Saccharomyces cerevisiae S288C: one gene and its partner. The protein of the gene in region 1 binds, or shares a complex with, the protein of each later gene. Each region holds a gene or a part of one and is shown on either strand. Other genes may lie near its edges. A codon is read from its position in the direction of its gene.

The links.
Region 2: the proteins of ARL1 (region 1) and GEA2 are in contact, whole or in part, in a cryo-EM structure (PDB 8EZJ), measured with the Saccharomyces cerevisiae proteins. Residues at the interface, in NP_009723.3 of Saccharomyces cerevisiae: Ile50 (codon at 1,939), Gly51 (codon at 1,942), Phe52 (codon at 1,945), Ser74 (codon at 2,011), Ile75 (codon at 2,014), Pro77 (codon at 2,020), Tyr78 (codon at 2,023), Arg80 (codon at 2,029), Cys81 (codon at 2,032), Tyr82 (codon at 2,035); in NP_010892.1 of Saccharomyces cerevisiae: Pro71 (codon at 1,914), Phe72 (codon at 1,917), Ser74 (codon at 1,923), Gly75 (codon at 1,926), Gln78 (codon at 1,935), Leu79 (codon at 1,938), Met82 (codon at 1,947), Asp93 (codon at 1,980), Leu95 (codon at 1,986), Thr96 (codon at 1,989), Ile97 (codon at 1,992), Gln99 (codon at 1,998), Pro100 (codon at 2,001), Leu103 (codon at 2,010), Thr107 (codon at 2,022), Ala144 (codon at 2,133), Asn147 (codon at 2,142).

The regions. Positions count from the first base shown.
Region 1 is NC_001134.8:567,220-570,217, reverse strand, and holds ARL1 (Arf family GTPase ARL1), read left to right. Parts: upstream 1-1,791; coding exon 1,792-2,343; downstream 2,344-2,998. Other genes in the region: TYR1 (prephenate dehydrogenase (NADP(+))), read left to right, coding at 1-376; UBS1 (Ubs1p), read right to left, coding at 533-1,366; EXO5 (Exo5p), read right to left, coding at 2,738-2,998. UniProt on the Saccharomyces cerevisiae protein: Recruits golgins such as IMH1 to the Golgi. Can bind and hydrolyze GTP. May be involved in trafficking events within the endosomal system.
Region 2 is NC_001137.3:109,718-116,618, forward strand, and holds GEA2 (Arf family guanine nucleotide exchange factor GEA2), read left to right. Parts: upstream 1-1,703; coding exon 1,704-6,083; downstream 6,084-6,901. Other genes in the region: YEL023C (uncharacterized protein), read right to left, coding at 1-835; URA3 (orotidine-5'-phosphate decarboxylase), read left to right, coding at 6,450-6,901. UniProt on the Saccharomyces cerevisiae protein: Activates the ARF proteins by exchanging bound GDP for free GTP. Plays a role in maintaining mitochondrial morphology. Stimulates DRS2 flippase activity.

The DNA of each region.
Region 1 (2,998 bases):
GGCGATTGTTGATTCGTGGTTTCAACTTGGTATTGATCCATATGATCATATGATTTGTTCGACGCCATTATTCAGAATATTCCTGGGTGTGTCCGAATATCTTTTTTTAAAACCTGGCTTATTAGAACAGACAATTGATGCAGCTATCCATGATAAATCATTCATAAAAGATGATTTAGAATTTGTTATTTCGGCTAGAGAATGGAGCTCGGTTGTTTCTTTTGCCAATTTTGATATATACAAAAAGCAATTTCAGAGTGTTCAAAAGTTCTTTGAGCCAATGCTTCCAGAGGCTAATCTCATTGGCAACGAGATGATAAAAACCATTCTGAGTCATTCTAGTGACCGTTCGGCCGCTGAAAAAAGAAATACATAATGTTTTTAATGCTGATTTCCTATAATATTAGGCCTTCTTTTGTGAAAAGGAGTATATTTATATAACTGAATAAAAATATATATTGTGACAAATGCCCATGCAAAAAATCGTGAAAAAAGGAAGAAAGTTCTACTATTCTATGTAAAAATAAACCCATTAGATTTTTTTCCTCTTTGTGTAATGCTCACTACCGCGATTATCGTTCGTTTCATCTGGACATGCCAACGTTCTTGACCTTTTAGAACTTACGACCGGATGAATACTGTCATCATCACATGCAAGTAAGTTTTTGGTCATAAAGTCGATAGCATTGTAGTCATGTGTCCTTTTGTTAACGTTATTATTGTTGAGAGTAGATAACATACTAGACTTTCCTATGCTGCTGTTAGTATAAGGGTTCTTGCTGTTGTCTTGTGCGTGAAAGGTGTGGCTTTGAGCATTGTAAGAGGACATAAATTCATTGACACTGCCACCATTACTATTGCTGATATTATGATTTTTGGAATAGCTCTTTACTATAGAGTAATCACCTGGTTGTAAAGTACCTATCAGTTCCGGAAAATAAGATTTAAAGTCCTTATATATAATCCTATTCCACGCCCTGTTGAATTTTACCGTTGACGGTGAATACTGTAAGTCTTCCGTTGCTTGAATATGAAAAAGCGGTTGCCATATGTGGAAAAGTAAATCCTGTAATCCCAAGTCTTTCAATAAAAGATAGTTTAAGTGTGTCATCGAAACCGTTCTGTTAATTGGAAAGCAACAATTTGGAGACAGACATTTCATGATGATATATGGATCCTGGTCGTTTCCGCCAATATAAAGTAGTAGATATACTTCCAAAGAAGTCCTGGGCTCGTACATTACCACGTGCCAAAGATGTAAGTCTGAATCATGTGGCCTTACATGAAAAAGACCTTGGGTCTTCTCAGGATGGCGCATAAAATATTTCCAATCCTTCAGCAATTTCCTTGTTAAAGAGTAAGCCATAATTATTAGCTTTTTGATTAAAATATAAAAAAATCTGTTTAGCTCTTATATCGCCTCCTCGCACAAAATCACGACAAAGGCAACGTTAGATTGATGCTCTCAAAACATACTAAGAATGTGTTCTATGATATATATGGGAAGAGTAGGTTAAATATTTCTTATGACAATAACAAAACCCACTGCATCGTACAGGACGGGTAACAGAGCCCTTTCCAATTGAAATTTTGAATAAAACTATTTTGCCTATAAAAGTTAGATTTACGACAATTAATATTAGGCAGAATGTTCTCGGAACTTTCAAGTAGTAAAGGATTGCGTGGTTCATTTGTATTTACGAAACGGTGAGTAATAAGGTTTCTAAAACCAAAGGAAAAATAAAGAAAGATCTAAGAAGAAAGTTCCAGTAAAGTGAGTTATAGATCAAGATGGGTAACATTTTTAGTTCAATGTTTGACAAACTATGGGGTTCAAACAAAGAATTGCGTATATTGATTTTGGGTTTGGATGGTGCAGGTAAAACTACCATCTTATATCGTTTACAAATTGGCGAAGTAGTCACTACAAAGCCAACCATTGGTTTCAATGTAGAGACGCTAAGTTATAAAAACTTAAAATTGAACGTCTGGGATCTTGGTGGTCAAACAAGTATCAGGCCCTACTGGAGGTGTTATTATGCAGACACTGCTGCAGTTATTTTCGTTGTTGATTCGACTGATAAAGATCGTATGTCTACAGCCTCTAAGGAACTTCATTTGATGTTACAGGAAGAAGAATTGCAAGATGCAGCACTGCTGGTTTTTGCAAATAAACAAGACCAACCGGGTGCATTAAGTGCCAGTGAAGTCTCCAAAGAACTGAATCTTGTAGAATTGAAGGACAGAAGTTGGTCTATCGTAGCATCCAGTGCAATTAAAGGCGAAGGTATTACCGAAGGTTTAGATTGGTTGATTGATGTTATAAAAGAGGAACAGTTATAGCGATAAAGATTTGCAAAAAAAAAGTGTAGATGCATACTTTTTAAATGGCATTGAATATACATATAATTTGTTTTGTAACTGAATTATCAAGGAGCTCTATCCAAACATAATAGAGTTAGTAAGTGTATACATGTTTCTCTTTGGGTTTTAATTCTAAAGGCAATTACATCGTTCCGATGAATGAGAAGGCCGCATTAAAATACCTAATGACCTCTTAATGAAAGTTGCATATATACATTTAAATTAAATTGTCATTTCAATTCCGATTTATTGAAACAGGACGTCCGAAAGCAGAAACAGATTTATGTGCTTAATAACCCAATAAAGGACTTCAATGTATTCACGAAACAACACCCTTTTAATAACTAGAATAAATAATGTTACAATACCTACACTACTTCATACTTGATTCAAGAATAATTTTTTTTAATTCTTTCCCTAGATCAATAAGTTTCAATTCATTTTTATTTTTCCAAGAACAAACGTGTCTGTAGTCACAAAACTTACAGTATGTGTTGAAGTTTTTTTGAGTAGGCTCAATTGGATGCATATCTCTGCCACCAAACCAAACCATTGCAGAATCATGGGCATGGGTTCCCAGTTTCAAGGGATCATATGGGAAGATGATATTGTGGAAATTATCGTTATGGTAATA
Region 2 (6,901 bases), on another chromosome or scaffold:
GCACCGGCGAACACTGGTCAGTTATATGATTACAATATGTCAATGAAAATAGTTTCGGAATGTACGGCATCGGAGTGAAACATAACTGCTTGAATTTTCCACGTCTTTCATCCAAGGATACGCAATGTCGAACATGCTCAACGATATTGCTTCTCTGGGTGCAAGGAAACAACCTGTCCCTTAATATTCCAACTGAGTTCACAGAATCGAATAAGCCTTGAAAATGTATCTTTACCTCGTAATCCCTAGAGAATGTTTTCTTGAATTCTTCAGCCAAGGTACTTGTGTACTGTAATTCATTAGGCTGCGAATCGTATTCCCATTTTTCATAGATTTGCCATGCCATTTTAACCATTTCTTCCAAACCTTTACTCAAAAGTCCGACTCTTTCAATCATTCCAGCAAGAACTCTTGCAATAAAAGCTCCTCTAGAAAAGCCAAACATATAAATTCTATCTCCTGGTTCAAAATACTTCATCAAAAAAAGATATGCAGAACATATGTGATTGTCTAAACTGAATGCGAACATAGAATCTAATAAATTTTGTAAGTGAGAAATAGTTAACCGTCTTCTGACATCAACAACAGCGTCAAATCCAACTGAACCAATTCCAGGTTGGTAATAACAAATTTGTTCAGAACTATCACCGTTCTCAAGAAGGTTGTACAATTTTAAAATATTAGTGAATGGCTGAGGTCCAAAATTTTCTCTTGTTCCATCAAAACAAAGAATGATATTCTTGCCAGACGATGAATGTGAGGATGGATTTATACTTCTGTCGCCTCCCGTCCCATTTTTTTTATATTTTCCATGAATATAATTGAAGCTATCCATCTAATGGATATTATGTTAGTGTATTATTTTTTATAAGTTACATCACCTGTTTGCTGTTATTTTACTACATCTGTCTGAAGTACATTAATTTGTGGCGGTTTAACAGTATATTGAATGTGACAAACACACCCAGACACCTCAATAGACAACAGGAGGGCCATTACCATAATTTCATAACATTAAATATTCCAAGTAACATTTTTCAGAAGACGAAGAAAGACTAATTAACAGGATAATAAATATTAACATTATCTTTTAAGTACCATACTTGAAGCGTCAATTGATGTATGTTTGGTTTTCCACTATTTTCCTAAAAGCATGAATCTTTTCTAGGCAAAAAATTGGAATGACGACTCCTGATCGTTAAAATGGAAGACAAACACTAGAAGTTGACTTCAAAAAAACTTCTTTCATTAAATAAGGGAAATATCCGGCCGGCTCATACTGATAATATACCAGCAACATTTACAGGAAACTGCAGGTTTTAGGCAGTGTGGCGAACCGCAAATAAAGTAATAAACAACAATTTCAAACGGAAAGGACTCCTCTGCTAAAGATTTGATGTTTTTAAGTTCTTTTATAGTTTATATTGGCATAAGAGGTAAACCATATTTAGCACTTATTTTCATAAAGTATTAGAAGTGTTCTTATATATTTCATTACCCGACTTGAAAAATACTACGCGGTTCATTGCGAGAACCTTCAATAAGTGTCGAAAGAGCACCTACATTGGCGTTTAAATAATAAACACACCAACCTACATATTACGTTGAATTTAAATTCTTTCACTGCTTGTAAACCATAGACAATAAACTGATTAATTTAGTATCTAAAAAATCTTTTAAAGGGAAAGAGAAGAGGCGGAAAGATGAGTGATAGGGAATTCGTCACGGTAGATCCCGTCACTATCATAATCAAAGAATGCATTAATTTATCGACAGCGATGCGGAAATACTCTAAATTTACCTCTCAATCTGGAGTGGCCGCTTTGCTGGGGGGAGGAAGTGAAATATTTAGCAATCAAGATGACTACTTGGCTCACACATTCAACAATTTGAATACCAACAAGCACAATGATCCATTTTTATCTGGATTCATTCAGTTAAGACTTATGTTGAATAAACTGAAAAATCTAGATAATATAGATTCACTAACCATATTGCAGCCATTTTTATTAATTGTGAGTACAAGTTCCATTTCTGGTTACATCACTTCCCTGGCCCTGGACTCTTTGCAGAAATTCTTTACCTTGAATATCATCAATGAATCATCGCAAAACTATATTGGTGCACACAGGGCGACGGTAAATGCTCTAACACATTGTAGGTTTGAAGGATCTCAACAACTTTCTGATGATTCAGTTCTTTTGAAAGTCGTGTTTTTACTGCGTTCAATCGTCGACTCACCTTACGGAGATTTATTATCAAACTCTATCATATATGACGTATTGCAAACGATTCTTTCATTGGCTTGTAATAACAGAAGGAGCGAAGTCCTTAGGAATGCTGCACAATCAACAATGATAGCCGTTACCGTAAAGATTTTCTCAAAACTAAAGACTATTGAGCCTGTTAATGTGAATCAAATATACATCAATGATGAAAGTTACACAAATGATGTATTGAAGGCCGATACAATTGGCACAAATGTAGAATCCAAAGAAGAAGGAAGTCAAGAAGATCCCATCGGCATGAAAGTGAATAATGAGGAAGCTATTAGCGAGGACGATGGCATTGAAGAAGAGCATATTCATTCAGAGAAGAGCACAAATGGCGCCGAACAACTAGATATTGTGCAAAAAACAACAAGATCAAATTCCAGGATCCAAGCGTATGCTGATGATAACTATGGATTGCCCGTGGTTAGGCAATATTTAAACTTATTACTATCATTGATTGCGCCAGAAAATGAATTAAAACATTCATACTCCACTAGAATATTTGGCCTAGAGTTAATTCAAACGGCATTAGAAATTTCAGGTGATCGATTGCAGCTATACCCACGGCTTTTTACACTGATATCAGATCCTATTTTCAAAAGCATTTTGTTTATCATACAGAACACTACAAAATTATCACTACTTCAAGCTACATTGCAGCTATTTACTACTCTAGTTGTTATATTGGGCAACAACTTACAATTACAGATCGAGCTCACTCTAACAAGAATATTTTCTATTCTTTTAGATGATGGTACCGCAAATAACTCGAGTTCTGAAAATAAGAACAAGCCATCAATAATAAAGGAACTTCTAATTGAGCAAATATCCATCTTATGGACTAGGTCGCCATCTTTTTTTACTTCTACTTTTATCAATTTCGATTGTAATCTCGATAGGGCAGACGTTTCCATAAACTTTTTGAAGGCTTTGACTAAATTGGCCTTACCAGAATCCGCCTTAACTACCACAGAAAGTGTACCACCCATTTGCCTTGAGGGATTGGTCTCCCTAGTCGATGATATGTTCGATCACATGAAGGACATTGACAGAGAAGAATTTGGCAGGCAAAAGAATGAAATGGAAATCTTAAAAAAGAGGGACCGTAAAACAGAGTTTATTGAATGTACCAATGCATTCAATGAAAAGCCCAAAAAGGGTATTCCGATGTTAATAGAAAAAGGTTTCATTGCTTCCGACTCCGATAAAGATATTGCGGAGTTTCTTTTCAATAATAACAACCGTATGAATAAAAAAACAATCGGTTTGCTACTTTGCCATCCGGACAAAGTAAGCTTGTTGAATGAATATATTCGTTTGTTTGATTTTTCAGGGTTAAGGGTCGATGAAGCTATTAGAATTTTGTTGACGAAATTTAGGTTGCCTGGTGAATCGCAACAAATTGAAAGAATCATCGAAGCCTTCTCGTCTGCGTATTGTGAAAATCAAGATTACGATCCATCCAAAATCAGTGACAACGCGGAGGATGACATTTCTACTGTTCAACCAGACGCTGATTCTGTTTTCATTTTAAGTTATTCAATTATTATGTTGAACACTGACCTACATAACCCTCAAGTGAAGGAACACATGTCATTTGAAGATTACTCTGGTAACTTAAAGGGATGCTGTAATCACAAAGACTTCCCATTCTGGTATTTGGATAGAATTTACTGTTCAATCAGAGATAAAGAAATTGTTATGCCTGAAGAGCACCACGGCAACGAAAAGTGGTTTGAAGATGCTTGGAATAACTTGATATCTTCAACTACTGTTATAACTGAAATAAAAAAAGACACACAATCTGTCATGGATAAATTAACACCCTTGGAGCTTTTGAACTTTGATAGAGCAATTTTTAAACAAGTTGGCCCAAGTATTGTCAGTACTTTATTCAACATTTACGTAGTTGCATCTGATGACCATATATCTACCAGAATGATAACAAGTTTGGACAAATGTTCCTATATTTCCGCATTTTTTGACTTCAAAGATCTCTTTAATGATATACTAAACTCCATTGCTAAGGGCACTACTTTGATTAATTCAAGCCATGACGATGAACTTTCAACTTTAGCTTTTGAATATGGCCCAATGCCACTGGTGCAAATTAAATTCGAAGACACTAACACTGAGATCCCGGTTAGTACAGATGCTGTTAGATTTGGTAGATCATTTAAGGGTCAACTAAATACAGTTGTTTTTTTCCGGATTATTCGCAGGAACAAAGATCCTAAAATTTTCTCCAAGGAATTATGGTTAAACATTGTTAATATTATACTAACATTGTACGAAGACTTGATTTTGTCTCCTGATATTTTCCCTGATTTACAAAAAAGACTGAAATTAAGCAACTTGCCTAAGCCATCTCCTGAAATTTCTATTAACAAGAGCAAAGAAAGCAAAGGTCTCTTATCAACATTTGCTTCTTATTTAAAAGGTGATGAAGAACCCACAGAAGAGGAAATCAAATCCTCAAAAAAAGCGATGGAGTGCATAAAGTCGAGTAATATTGCCGCCTCTGTCTTTGGAAATGAATCAAATATAACAGCGGATTTAATAAAAACTTTACTAGACTCCGCCAAAACTGAGAAAAACGCAGATAATTCCAGGTATTTTGAAGCAGAACTTTTATTTATCATCGAATTGACTATTGCATTATTTCTATTTTGCAAAGAGGAGAAAGAATTAGGAAAGTTCATACTTCAAAAAGTTTTCCAACTTTCTCACACGAAAGGCCTCACGAAAAGGACTGTTCGTAGAATGCTAACATACAAAATTTTGTTAATTTCGTTATGTGCGGATCAGACGGAGTACTTGTCCAAATTAATAAACGATGAGCTGTTAAAAAAGGGGGATATTTTTACCCAAAAATTTTTTGCAACTAATCAAGGTAAGGAATTTTTGAAGAGACTATTTTCATTGACCGAATCAGAGTTTTATAGAGGATTTTTACTAGGAAATGAGAATTTTTGGAAATTTTTAAGAAAAGTTACAGCAATGAAAGAGCAGAGCGAGAGCATTTTTGAATATTTAAATGAATCGATCAAGACAGACAGCAATATTTTGACAAATGAGAACTTCATGTGGGTCCTAGGACTATTAGATGAAATTTCATCAATGGGTGCCGTTGGAAATCACTGGGAAATAGAATACAAGAAATTGACAGAAAGTGGTCATAAAATTGATAAGGAGAATCCATACAAGAAATCGATCGAATTATCATTGAAATCCATTCAACTAACATCACACTTGCTGGAAGATAATAACGATCTGCGTAAAAACGAGATATTCGCTATTATTCAAGCTTTGGCACATCAATGCATCAATCCGTGTAAGCAGATAAGTGAATTTGCAGTGGTAACGCTAGAGCAGACGCTCATCAATAAAATCGAAATTCCAACTAATGAGATGGAATCGGTAGAAGAATTAATTGAGGGCGGATTACTACCGTTGCTAAATTCGAGTGAAACACAGGAAGACCAGAAAATCCTCATTTCATCCATATTAACAATAATTTCAAATGTTTATTTGCATTATTTGAAACTAGGGAAGACAAGCAACGAAACGTTTTTGAAAATTTTGAGTATTTTCAATAAATTTGTAGAGGACTCAGATATTGAAAAAAAGCTACAGCAATTAATACTTGATAAGAAGAGTATTGAGAAGGGCAACGGTTCATCATCTCATGGATCTGCACATGAACAAACACCAGAGTCAAACGACGTTGAAATTGAGGCTACTGCGCCAATTGATGACAATACAGACGATGATAACAAACCGAAGTTATCTGATGTAGAAAAGGATTAAAGATGCTAAGAGATAGTGATGATATTTCATAAATAATGTAATTCTATATATGTTAATTACCTTTTTTGCGAGGCATATTTATGGTGAAGGATAAGTTTTGACCATCAAAGAAGGTTAATGTGGCTGTGGTTTCAGGGTCCATAAAGCTTTTCAATTCATCTTTTTTTTTTTTGTTCTTTTTTTTGATTCCGGTTTCTTTGAAATTTTTTTGATTCGGTAATCTCCGAGCAGAAGGAAGAACGAAGGAAGGAGCACAGACTTAGATTGGTATATATACGCATATGTGGTGTTGAAGAAACATGAAATTGCCCAGTATTCTTAACCCAACTGCACAGAACAAAAACCTGCAGGAAACGAAGATAAATCATGTCGAAAGCTACATATAAGGAACGTGCTGCTACTCATCCTAGTCCTGTTGCTGCCAAGCTATTTAATATCATGCACGAAAAGCAAACAAACTTGTGTGCTTCATTGGATGTTCGTACCACCAAGGAATTACTGGAGTTAGTTGAAGCATTAGGTCCCAAAATTTGTTTACTAAAAACACATGTGGATATCTTGACTGATTTTTCCATGGAGGGCACAGTTAAGCCGCTAAAGGCATTATCCGCCAAGTACAATTTTTTACTCTTCGAAGACAGAAAATTTGCTGACATTGGTAATACAGTCAAATTGCAGTACTCTGCGGGTGTATACAGAATAGCAGAATGGGCAGACATTACGAATGCACACGGTGTGGTGGGCCCAGGTATTGTTAGCGGTTTGAAGCAGGCGGCGGAAGAAGTAACAAAGGAACCTAGAGGCCTTTTGATGTTAGC